3 linked regions of the Solanum lycopersicum genome follow. The protein of the gene in region 1 interacts with the protein of each later gene in a pairwise test. Links are inferred from orthologs where the notes say so. Each region holds a gene or a part of one and is shown in the gene's direction. Other genes may lie near its edges.

The links.
Region 2: the proteins of FKBP12-interacting protein of 37 kDa (region 1) and FKBP12 interact in binary tests that used the Arabidopsis thaliana proteins (3 or more experiments, as listed by UniProt). The link is inferred for Solanum lycopersicum from reciprocal best matches to the Arabidopsis thaliana genes FIP37 and FKBP12.
Region 3: the proteins of FKBP12-interacting protein of 37 kDa (region 1) and N6-adenosine-methyltransferase MT-A70-like interact in binary tests that used the Arabidopsis thaliana proteins (3 or more experiments, as listed by UniProt). The link is inferred for Solanum lycopersicum from reciprocal best matches to the Arabidopsis thaliana genes FIP37 and MTA.

The regions. Positions count from the first base shown.
Region 1 is NC_090802.1:59,711,013-59,714,768, reverse strand, and holds the start of FKBP12-interacting protein of 37 kDa, read left to right. Parts: upstream 1-842; 5' UTR 843-1,044; coding exon 1,045-1,071; intron 1,072-1,172; coding exon 1,173-1,215; intron 1,216-1,289; coding exon 1,290-1,351; intron 1,352-1,665; coding exon 1,666-1,736; intron 1,737-1,835; coding exon 1,836-1,872; intron 1,873-2,526; exon of another isoform or gene 2,527-2,678; coding exon of another isoform or gene 2,679-2,720; intron 2,721-3,724; coding exon 3,725-3,756. UniProt on the Arabidopsis thaliana protein: Probable regulatory subunit of the N6-methyltransferase complex, a multiprotein complex that mediates N6-methyladenosine (m6A) methylation at the 5'-[AG]GAC-3' consensus sites of some mRNAs.
Region 2 is NC_090800.1:89,806,857-89,810,612, reverse strand, and holds FKBP12 (peptidyl-prolyl isomerase FKBP12), read left to right. Parts: upstream 1-1,376; 5' UTR 1,377-1,391; coding exon 1,392-1,479; intron 1,480-1,684; coding exon 1,685-1,718; intron 1,719-1,803; coding exon 1,804-1,865; intron 1,866-2,649; coding exon 2,650-2,702; intron 2,703-3,255; coding exon 3,256-3,357; 3' UTR 3,358-3,594; downstream 3,595-3,756. UniProt on the Arabidopsis thaliana protein: PPIases accelerate the folding of proteins. It catalyzes the cis-trans isomerization of proline imidic peptide bonds in oligopeptides. Mediates rapamycin inactivation of TOR protein kinase activity.
Region 3 is NC_090807.1:56,953,802-56,957,557, forward strand, and holds the start of N6-adenosine-methyltransferase MT-A70-like, read left to right. Parts: upstream 1-959; 5' UTR 960-1,201; coding exon 1,202-2,302; intron 2,303-2,778; coding exon 2,779-2,877; intron 2,878-3,413; coding exon 3,414-3,497; intron 3,498-3,582; coding exon 3,583-3,756. UniProt on the Arabidopsis thaliana protein: Catalytic subunit of the N6-methyltransferase complex, a multiprotein complex that mediates N6-methyladenosine (m6A) methylation at the 5'-[AG]GAC-3' consensus sites of some mRNAs.

The DNA.
Region 1 (3,756 bases):
TATTTATTAGATATATAAAATATGTAATTCAAGTAGTAATCGCCATTCTTATTATTATTAATATTAATGATATACGTGAGCTTTTTACCAGCCATTAATCACATAATTCTTACTTTATATTGTATTTTAGGGATTTGGTTGTGGTAATTATAGATGAGTGGTAGATAGTTAAGGTCATAATTCCTCTTGTTTTCTCCGGAACTTTAATTTAATCAATTTGTTTTTAAGTTTGGCTATAAAGAGTTTCTTCGTACAGTGTCTCACAATAGAGTTGTTTCAGTCTAATCAAATCGTGACAATCTAGATTGGAATTGAAAGTGTTAAAAGAGAAAAATACAAGCTGGAATATCAACTTCACTTATCGAGTTCCAATTGCCCCTTTTAACGTTAATTTTCGAGTTAAAAATGCCCAACAACTTTTGATAACCCAATTATTTTGGATTAATAAAAAAAATTATCAGATTATAACATACTTGTAACAAAGTTCTGTACATTTTTGAATTTTTAAAGAAGGATTCAAGGTTATCATAGTATTTTTTCTCTCCTCCAATTGTCGTCTCTAGCAAATTTTAATTTTTACAACTAAAAAGAATGTCAAAAATCTATACACATTGAATTCACATTTATATATTTTAAAGTGAAAAAAAACTTGACTTAGCTTTTGTTTTTCCTAATTTTTATTGTTAAAAAAGTGTGTCATTATTTTCTCTATGTATAGTTTTTTTCATCATATTTTGAAGCCAAAAAATGATCTAACCTACCATGGTTAAAGCAATGTTTTAATGCCATATTAATTTCGAAATAATAATATAAAATAGTAATAAGGTATAAAAAAGAATTTTAGATTATGTTGCTCAAATTAGGTCAATTGATTTTATTTGTCTAATGAAATAAATTCGGTTTTACAAACTAGGAATTAAACCCACCCGGATGTGACAAAACATTTTTCTTCCTTCCCCGCTTTCTTTTCACTGAAGCCTCCTCATTGTTCAACAAATTTAGGGTTCCAAATTGAACTTTAAGCTTGTTGAATTGATTCTATCAATGGCGTCTCATAATCACATGGACGATGTAAGTTCTTTTTTTCCTTTTTTATTTCTAGTTGTTGTTTATAACTTGTACTTCCTTTATACTATAATGTTGAAGAATTTTCGTTTTGGGGGAATTCTCAGGACCTCGATTTTGGTGGAGATTTCGCCGCCACTGGACGTTCAGGTTTGCTAATTCTCCGCCATTGTCCTTTTTACTGCAAGTTTTTGAGTATATTATTTGATTGCAAGTGATTTTAGGTACCAAAAGAAGCTTTGGAGACCTTGACGATGATGAGGACGATATTTTTGGCTCTAAAAAGGTGTTTTGTTTACCTATTCTTATTTAAGTTTGTCTTGTAAACCATACTTGCAAACCAATCATGGGATACAAGGTTAGTGGGTTGCTCATAAGCACTCTCTTAGTTAAAATTTATGTGATATGCTTCTTTTGAGACATCATAAATTGTTTAACATAATTAAATGCACTTTTTGATACTGTCAAGGATTTAAATCCTTCAAGAATATTTAACTTGACTGATCTGTGATTCTTTTCAACTAGACTAATAGGAGTCATAAGGACTATTAGCATGTCAATCTCAAGTCAATATTTATCATTTATATGTTTCAATACTAGGGTAATTTGTTGAAAGTAGAAGAAACAGCACCTGGTGCAGCAACAGGGATGATCTTGTCTCTTCGCGAAAGGTATGGTAGTTGGATGCTTGTTGCACATCTGTGAACATTTTTGGATTTAATTGCTTATGTTTTCACTTTCTCACTGTCTTTTGTGATTCGTTATTGCAGTCTACAGGACTGTAAGGATAACCTAGCATCAACTCAGGTGCTTATCATCTTTCATTTTTGTTTTTTGTTTTCCATGGTTATACCCAAAATTATCTGTCATCCTCTTTTTCAGCATTATGTATTCATGCTGTATGATTTTTTAAAATATTATATTAATTATCAGAGCCTAGAAGTTTAGATGTTCTATTTTTTTTTTTACTATGGTATGTTGGATTATAATTTTGTTTTTGTTTTTATTAAGAATAGTATGCTGGATTATCTTACTTTCTCTCTGTTAATATTCAATGTTTATATAGGGTTTTTAATTTTTTTTTTCCTGAAGGTCCATTTAACTGATGGAGGAGTTTAGGCAAGACTCAACCTGTATATGTACCAAAAATAATAATTACACGGAGGAGGGCATAAACATTAGCCTCTGTAGCATTGTGAAGGTTGATAAAATTAATCTTTAAAGACATTTGAGTACAACAAAAAAGAGTATTGTGTTGAGTATCATTGCTACTGATGGTATGAGACTCATCTAAGTAGCTAGATAATATATACCTATTGCTAATCACCAAAAAAGGCTTATAATAGTCAGCAGACATCAATGGCGAACTTGTTCTTCTTAAACCTGGAATTTGGGAGTCCATCAAATTCAATCTCCAATGAAGCTCTAACCTTTAAAGGTACGAAAGTAGTTTCAGTGAAGATTAGAAAAGTTTTAGATTCTTCTCCATGTTAGCAAGGAGGTCAGCAGTAGAGTTGCCTTCTGTAAAATTATGCTTAAAAACAAAGTTTCCACACGAGATGAATTAGCTATTTTCTCAGTAATCTGCTTGATTTTCCAGGGTCCCATTGAGAATGTCGATAATAAGGAGAGAATCAGATTCAACTATAACATTAGTAAGTCCAGCCTCCAACAAATGTTCACCCCTTTCAACATGGCCTTGGCTTCAGCCATATTGTTACTGCAATGCCCATAGTAATCAACAAAGGCCTGAATCATAGCCCCTGTATGATCCCTGATTATAGCACCCACCTGCTGATCCCGGAATTCCCTTGCTACAACCATTAACATTGAATTTTATCCAAAAATGAGAAGGTTTAATCGAACAAACAGCCTTTGAATGATGATTGGTTTCACCTTATCTATCATATAACAATTTCCAATCCAAGAATCAGGGAGGGTTAATTTGGGAAATTGATGAGGCTGTTTAACTTGCTGAATGATGTACCAAGTTGGCATCATTTTATCATCAAATCTGGCTTACGTCTATTTTTCCAAATTTCCCAACATATTGCAATTGGAAGGAACTTTAGTATGCAGTCATGAACCTCATTCTTACCTTTCACATTCCACCAGTTAATAGCTGACATCCTAAGTTGTCCAAGGACTTGTTTAATACCACATGAGTTACAGAAGTAAGCACATATAGTATCTTTCATGGGAAGTTGTTTTGTGTTTTCTCTGATACTTCACTCAAATCATTCAAAAATTCATTTTAGATGCTTTTGTGGTATAGGATAAAATCTCTTTCTTCCCTTGCTTTTCAGATAATAATATGCTTTAACTAACATGTTGGCTGGATGGTGATGATTTACTGATTACCTATCTTGCATCAGCATAAATTTATCTTCCCTTTCCAACCTTCGTGTTGACTCTGCTACTCATGTCTTAAAATGTCCGAGGGGTTAATATGTCTAATTTCACAGTTTGTAATCTTCCTTTGATGTTTTACAGCCCTTCCTTGATTCTTATGCATTCACTAGTTTGTTCAAACTTTGTGTGGGGGCCTTTTGGAACTGCACCACACTTAATGGAGCCTGAATCATGCTGTTGAATGACCAACATTCTGATTTAAATCTCATAAAACTAATTACTGACTTAACTGTCTATCTTGTTTCAGACAGAACTTGAATCAGCAAAATCTGAAATACT
Region 2 (3,756 bases), on another chromosome or scaffold:
TGAAATTGAAGTTTTGTTTGGACATGTGATATGAAATTTTTGTGTTACATATTTTCTCATAAATATATAAATTTCAGAAGTTGTAAAATTATTAAATAGCCACAATTGTTTATTCAATCTTATCAAATAAAAAAATAAAATTGCATAATAAAGTATTACAAAGGTATTTGTTCTACACTTAAATAATTGTTTCATCTAACTTTAATTTAATAAAAAAAATTGAACATAAATTGTTGTGTAGTAGTTTTTAATATAATCTTCCCACATAGTACGAACAATTTCATCAAGTTGAACTTGCATTTCTCGATCATGTGACTTCAACCAATACATAAATTCTGAATAATTCATACATTATGTTCTGAAGTTTAGAAAGATTACGTAAAGAAATCATTTCAAATATATTAAATCCAACTATTTAGAGAGTTTTTAATAAAATATTGAGGGTATATTATGTATACAATGTTCACATTTTATACCATGTATAAAAATGCTGGAAATAATGTGATATTATGTAGCTGATTAGTTATTAAAATAAAAAATATATAATTACTTTATTGGAAATTTTTGAAGTTGGAGTAGTATTTGTTTTTTTCAAAGAATATTTAGAATTTGAATATATTTTGTATGAATATAATTTAAACCCTCAATTTCAAAAAATTGAAAAGAACCGCCTAATTTGATTAGCTTAACCATGTGAACATATATTCATTTGACTTGACACATTTTTAATTGCGACGTGAGTTTCTTAAAAAAAAAAAATAGACAAAAGGATACATCTTGCAACTTTTTTAATAATTCAGGATTTTTTTCACTTATTTAATAAAAGGATATACTTTAGGTTTAGTCATATGATAGGGATAATTTCGGCCAAAAACTCATACAAAAGAAGAAGTAAAAAAAGAGGAAAAATACACAATTACCCCCTAAACTATGATCGAAATCCAGAGACACAATTAAACTAAACTAAGGTCTTATTACCCCTTGAACTTATTTTTTTTTTGTGATTTTATATACTTTTTGTCATACGTGGCACACTCCGTGCATCCACACAATTGACGCGTGAGAGATATATAGATATCACGTAAGTAAAAAAAATACAAAAAATTAAAAACAATACAAATTTAAAGACAATAAGACCTTAATTTATCGCATTTTTTCAAAAAAAAAAAAAAAAGTAAGCAATTTTTATTCTCCTCGAACAAGCTAGAAATCCGCCCATATATAAAAAAAAATAAAATGTAAAAGGGTATAAAAAGGAAAGTAACGAAGATATTCCGCTGCCGCACGCGAGAATCACGTGACACTGACCCTTGAAATTGACAAGCACTACAGTTTCAGTCATCAAACCCTAAATCAAGAAGTCGGAGATTTCATCAAAATCACCGGAAAAAATGGGAGTGGAGAAGGAAGTTATCAGAGCCGGAAATGGCCCCAAACCGCAGCCTGGTCAAACTGTTACCGTCCACTGCACTGGTTACGGTGAGTCCTCTTTCTTTTTTCGCCAAAGAAAAAGATCCATTTTCTTTTCACAAGGGATTAATCGCATCAAACTAGTTAATCTCTAATTCAGTCTGTTTTTATTCTTTATAGATGAATCGGATCTTTAATATAGTTTGATTTTTAGTAAGTACAGTTTTTAGTAGTATTTTTGGTTAATATTGTTTTTATTGTTCTATGCCTGCAGGGAAAGATAGAGACCTGAGTCAGAAGTTCTGGAGGTAAACTGTTTTTTTTTATTTATTTATGAAGTTTGATGCAGGGTTATGTGTAGTATATATCTTTGCTTAATTTTACGTGTAACAGCACTAAGGATCCAGGCCAGCAGCCTTTCTCTTTCAAGATCGGCCAAGGCAAAGTTATCAAAGGTACTTACGACTCCTGTATATCTCGATTTATATGATTTGTTTTTCCTAGTTTATGCGTTAGTATGTTATTATAAGTAATGCGTGATAATGTATTCAATTGGACAATTAATTTGGAAAATTTAGTAGTCTTATATTGGACTAACCATGAATGGAACTTATAGTAGTGATCCCACTACTTTTCTTATTGATTTCAATTGTCATTTTAAATTTCTCTCAAACCCAATTTCTGACCATAGAAGTGGTCCGGAAGCTTATAGCTCTTATACTGGACAGCTTTTAGTGCAAGAGAACTTACACTTTTGTAAAGCAAACAAAAGCTTACTACGTTGGTGGCCAAAGAGGTCTAAATGTGACATAGGTGGATTCATGTAGAGTTATAGATTTGTTGGCAAATGATGGTAGGTCTTTAAGTTGAGACAACCAACTTGCTATCATTCTAGAAAAGACACTATGGAAGGAGCTAAGATATCTTTTCCCTTGAAGCACACATATAGTTCAGCTGATTCTTCGGTCTCTTGAGTGATACCAGATTAATGTTGGATAAACTAACACTTCTTTCTCAAAGCAAAAGCTCATAGCTGACTTACGAAGTAAAATTTGGCTGTGGTGAACTTTTGTAGTGGCATTTTTAGATCCTTCTATATTTGTCAGACATGTGCCCATTATGAACAAATCCCCACCTCCTTCTGGGGTCTTCAAAGGGAGAAACTTAAGAACGCTGTAGACCATAGTGACAGTTCTCTCAGCTTGCATTTCTTTTATTCTTATGTCTCCTTATTTACAGGATGGGATGAAGGAGTACTGGGCATGCAATTGGGAGAAGTTGCTCGATTAACGGTAAATGCCTTCTCTTTTCTTTTGATTCTCAGTTGAAGTCAAATCAATCACGGAGTTAATTATGTTTGTGTTATCCATGTTATGAAGTTTAGACTCCCATTGAGTTATGGGTTTATAGTCAGAAAACTAAGAGTCAATTGGAAAATAAGGAGGTTGATATCTCCTAGTTATTTTACATTGTTGAGTTTTGATTTATTTTCACTTCACTGAAATGTCTCTATCCTTTTGGCTGACTGGCTTATAGGAAGACATTATGATGTTTTCTACAATTGACACTCTAAAGTGGATTGATGGTTTCAGATAACTCCCCCTAATTGTCGTTTTTCAATTTCTGCCTCGTATTACTGCCCATTTCATGGTCACATCATCTCCATCTTTTTGATGGGATTGGCTGCAAAGTTTATAATGGAATGGCGATGATACAATAATTGCATTCTTCCTAAGAGTATTAATCTTACTATAATTGTGTACATATATGAAAAAAGTTTCTAGGCTTTTATGTATTAAGATCTTCTATAAGGAGAGGTTTAAACTGATGTCTTCAATTTTGCAGTGCACCCCTGATTATGCTTATGGTGCTGGTGGATTTCCAGCATGGGGTATTCAGCCCAACTCAGTTCTGGTTTTTGAGATTGAAGTCCTAGGTGCACAATGAGCAATTTGCTAACATTTGGGCATTCCCGATGGAGCTGTTGTACACTATACAGTAGACAGCTTGAGGGTATCAGAACTGCTCATGTACTCTTTTGCTCTAATGCAACTTGTTGAAACAGATTAAGGCAATAATAAATGCTTTGAAGCTTTTGTCTGGATAATGGTCTTCTATGAGACTACTAATTTGCCTTGCAAGACAAATTAGTTAGTAATGAAATATAATATGGAATGGATGTAAGAGTTTGTATGGTCAACTCCAACTAATATGGGGTACTATTCTCCTTGTCGCATTCTATATGCTTGCCTATTGCCTTATGTATAATAGCCTAATGTTTCATCACAAAAATTGATAGCTTAAAAGAATTGGTGGAAACTCAATTTGACAAAACTAGGAGGAAAC
Region 3 (3,756 bases), on another chromosome or scaffold:
TTGAAAATTTGTTATTCGTGTTAAAGTTAAGTTTTTGGTCAACTCCAAACAACCATAACTCCTAACTTTGGATGAGTTAGGTCCTTTATCAGACCTTAAAGGCTTAATACTAAGATTAAATTGATTTTTTTAACTAAGCTTTGAATTGTTTAAGTATATCAAATACTTTACTCTTTAATCTGATGAAATAAACCGAACACATTCTAGTGTAGTCATCAATAAAGAGGAGAAAGTATGTGTTATCACTTAATGAATTTGTTTTCATTTGGCCACAAACATCCGTACGAATGATCTGAAGTTTCTGATTAGCTCTCCATTCTTGATTTACTTCAAATGACAATTTTGTTTGCTTTTCCTAGTAGGTTTCACAAACTTGAGCTTTAGAAAGAAATTGAGGCATATTTTTCACTAACTTTTTCATTCTCATATCGAAAAGACTAAACCTTTTGTGTCATATGTTTGTACATGTTTGCGAAGTTAGGAATTGTTTGGTTAGAAACAAGTTATCTCAAGAAAAGTTATCCTGAGATTAGCTATCCTAAAATAACTTATCCCACCATGTATATGTGATAACTTATCCAATTACTATGATATAAATAGTGAGATAAGTTATTCCGAACATGACAACCAAACAAGATATAAAATTTTTATTCCATTTCTATTTTCTCATCTCATCACTACTTATTGTTATTCCTACACCATACGATCCCTAAAAGTATAAGCCTGATCAATTATTTTCTCCCAATCAACTGAAAAATGTTATGTTGATCATCTTAAAATAAAATAATTCTACTTCAAAAGGATTAGAAACAACACATTCACGATTTTTAAAATGTAAAAAATAATTATTTTCAAGCATTTGTTGGTCAATAAATTGTGAATCATATTCGATAATCGGTTGACCCATTAAGAAAACATTTCAAATCAATAAGAATCAATAATTTGACAACAAAAAAATCAAAAATATTATTGAAATCACTAAACTAACAATTCATTATCTATAAATTAATAGTAACTTTTTTGTAATTCAATTATTAATTTCGATTCGATTTTGAACTGGGGTAATAAGGAAATTGGATGAGGTGTATGTAGAGCAATATTATATCCCTCTCTTTCCTTCAACATAAAAACCCTCGCACAAAAACCCTTCCTCCACTGATAAACCTCTCGATCTGCAGCTAAGATTCAAGAAACACCAACGATGGAAACTCATGCTGACGGCACAGATGAAATTGCCGCCGTGGAGGAGCTACGGCAACAGCACGAAACCCGTATACAGACCCTACACAACGCTCAATTGGAACTCATCGCCTCACTGCAAAACATAGTTCCTGATATAGTCTCTTCACTCGACCTCTCTCTTAAGACCATTTCAGCCTTCAATGGAAAACCCTTCACCCCTTTACCCAGCCCACTCCCTAATGCCCCCAACCATAACCCTAATTTACTCGTCCCAAAGATCAATTCCTGTTCTGGTAAACGTGTTTCAGAACTTTCTAGAAGTGGTAGTGAGAAGGAGAAAATGGTAATTGATGAATGTGGGGGACCTTTGTCGGTTGTAAGGGCGATGGTTGCAGTTTGTTTGTTAGAGAGAGTGCCGTTTACTGCTATTGATTCGTCTACTTTGTTAAGGAAGTTAGAGAATGATCAGTCGCATACGGCTGCTGAAAAGGCAGCGATTAGGGAGCTCGGAGGCGAGTCGGGGGCGATAGTGGCAGTGGAAATGGCATTGAAATCGATGGCGGAGGATAATGGTTGTGTAGAATTGGAGAATTTTGTGGTTAGCGGGAAATCTAGGATTATGGTGTTGAATATTGATAGAACTAGGCTATTGAAAGAATTGCCGGAAAGTAAGCAGACTGAGGGAAGTGTTGGTGGAGGAAACCGGAATAATCAGGAAATAATGAAAAGAGGGATTGATAATGGAGGTGCTTTTGGAATGGGAAGGGGAATGAGTGAAATGTGGGAGCATCCACATATGCAGGGGATGACAGCTATGTTTCCCGGGAATATGGGCGGTCCAAGAGGAGGGCATAGAGGAATGGTGGGTATGATGGGGATGCCGAGAGGTGTTGGTGTTCCACCTCCTATGCATAGACCACCAATGGGACCAAATGGGCAAATAGGAGGAGGAGGGAATTCTATTGCTTTAAAACCTAGGTCAGAAGAAGATGAGCTGAAGGATTTAGAGAAAATGTTGAACAAGAAAAGTTTTAAGGAAATGCAGAAATCGAAAACCGGAGAGGAGTTATTGGACCTTATTCATCGTCCGACTGCAAAGGAATCTGCCGTCGCTGCAAAGGTATTGGACAATCCCACCCATCACAATTTTCTGTTCCCCATTCAAAAACTTTCTGTTTGATAATTTCTCCTCGCAGATATAATGAACTGATTACATTTTGTATTTTTTTTGGTACAATGCAACAACATAACCATAGGGGTTTGGGGAGGGTAGGATGTAGTCAGACCTTACCTACCTTGTGTGGAGGTAAAGACGCATCTTTGCTACAATGCAATTACGGAAATAAGTGAAATTTGCTAAGTCACAACTATTTTATATTTCTACTTCCATTGCGGTGTGCCAAGTTAATTTCTTCTTTGCTCTAACATTGTCTTTTTTGCATTTTTAGTTGTATATAATCCTCTATCGTCGTTGTTTGAATTTTGTTTGTTATTATGCTTCACATGTTTTCTCGTCTCTTGTTTCTTTGCTAAAGCTTTTGTAGTGTATTTTTTCATGGTAATTGATACCACCTTTTTATTTAAATTGTATTTTAGTTCAAAAGCAAAGGTGGTTCCCAGGTGAAGGAATATTGTTCAGCTTTAACAAAGGAAGATTGTCGACGCCAAGCTGGTTCCTACATTGCTTGTGATAAGGTTAGACCAAGTGATTTCTGGTACTTATGACACTCGAAGCTTTTAAGTTGTTACCATTTGTTTTGAACATAGATAGTACTCCGAACCAATAATGAAGATTGTAGATGGTGTTAATCACAATGTTATTGAAAGGTATTGCTTTGTCGATTAAAATGATGCAAAGCGAGGGGTCGTTGCTTCATGGGCCAATCTATGTGTTTCTGTTATGTGTCTGCTTCAAACAGTCTGCATAAAGTGACCCAACAAGAAATAGTTTATTCTTTGATTCTCAACTTTGAGGAGTTGGATTAAATCAACATTGTTGCATATCGGATGTCAAAATCAGTTATTTTATTGAATTTTGATTATCATTATACTAAATTCATATATGTATGATTTTAGGTTTCTGTGAACTGTGCACTTATTTTCTTGCTTTTCACTTCAAACCCTATGGATCTTGACATATTTTTGTGTTTTTTTTTCACTTTTAAAGCACTAGTTAATCATTACCTTTATATTCGGAGGGATATGGTAACTTTATTATGATGCATTTTTAGGTTCATTTTCGGCGAATAATTGCTGTGCATACTGATGTCAACTTGGGTGATTGCTCTTTTCTTGATACTTGCCGTCACATGAAGGTGATTTCCCTATCTAAAATGTTTACATAAGGATTTGGTTATATCTTCTGGAAATACATAGTACTTACACTCATTTAATTCGCAGACATGCAAGTATGTACATTATGAGCTTGACTCGACGCCAGATGTATCACCCCTGATGATGGGAGCATCTACCTTGGCCCCTCCCAAGCCTTTGAAACCTCAGCGTGCTCATTACTGTTCAGAAGTAGAGCTTGGTGAACCACAATGGATTAATTGTGACATACGGTCATTTAGA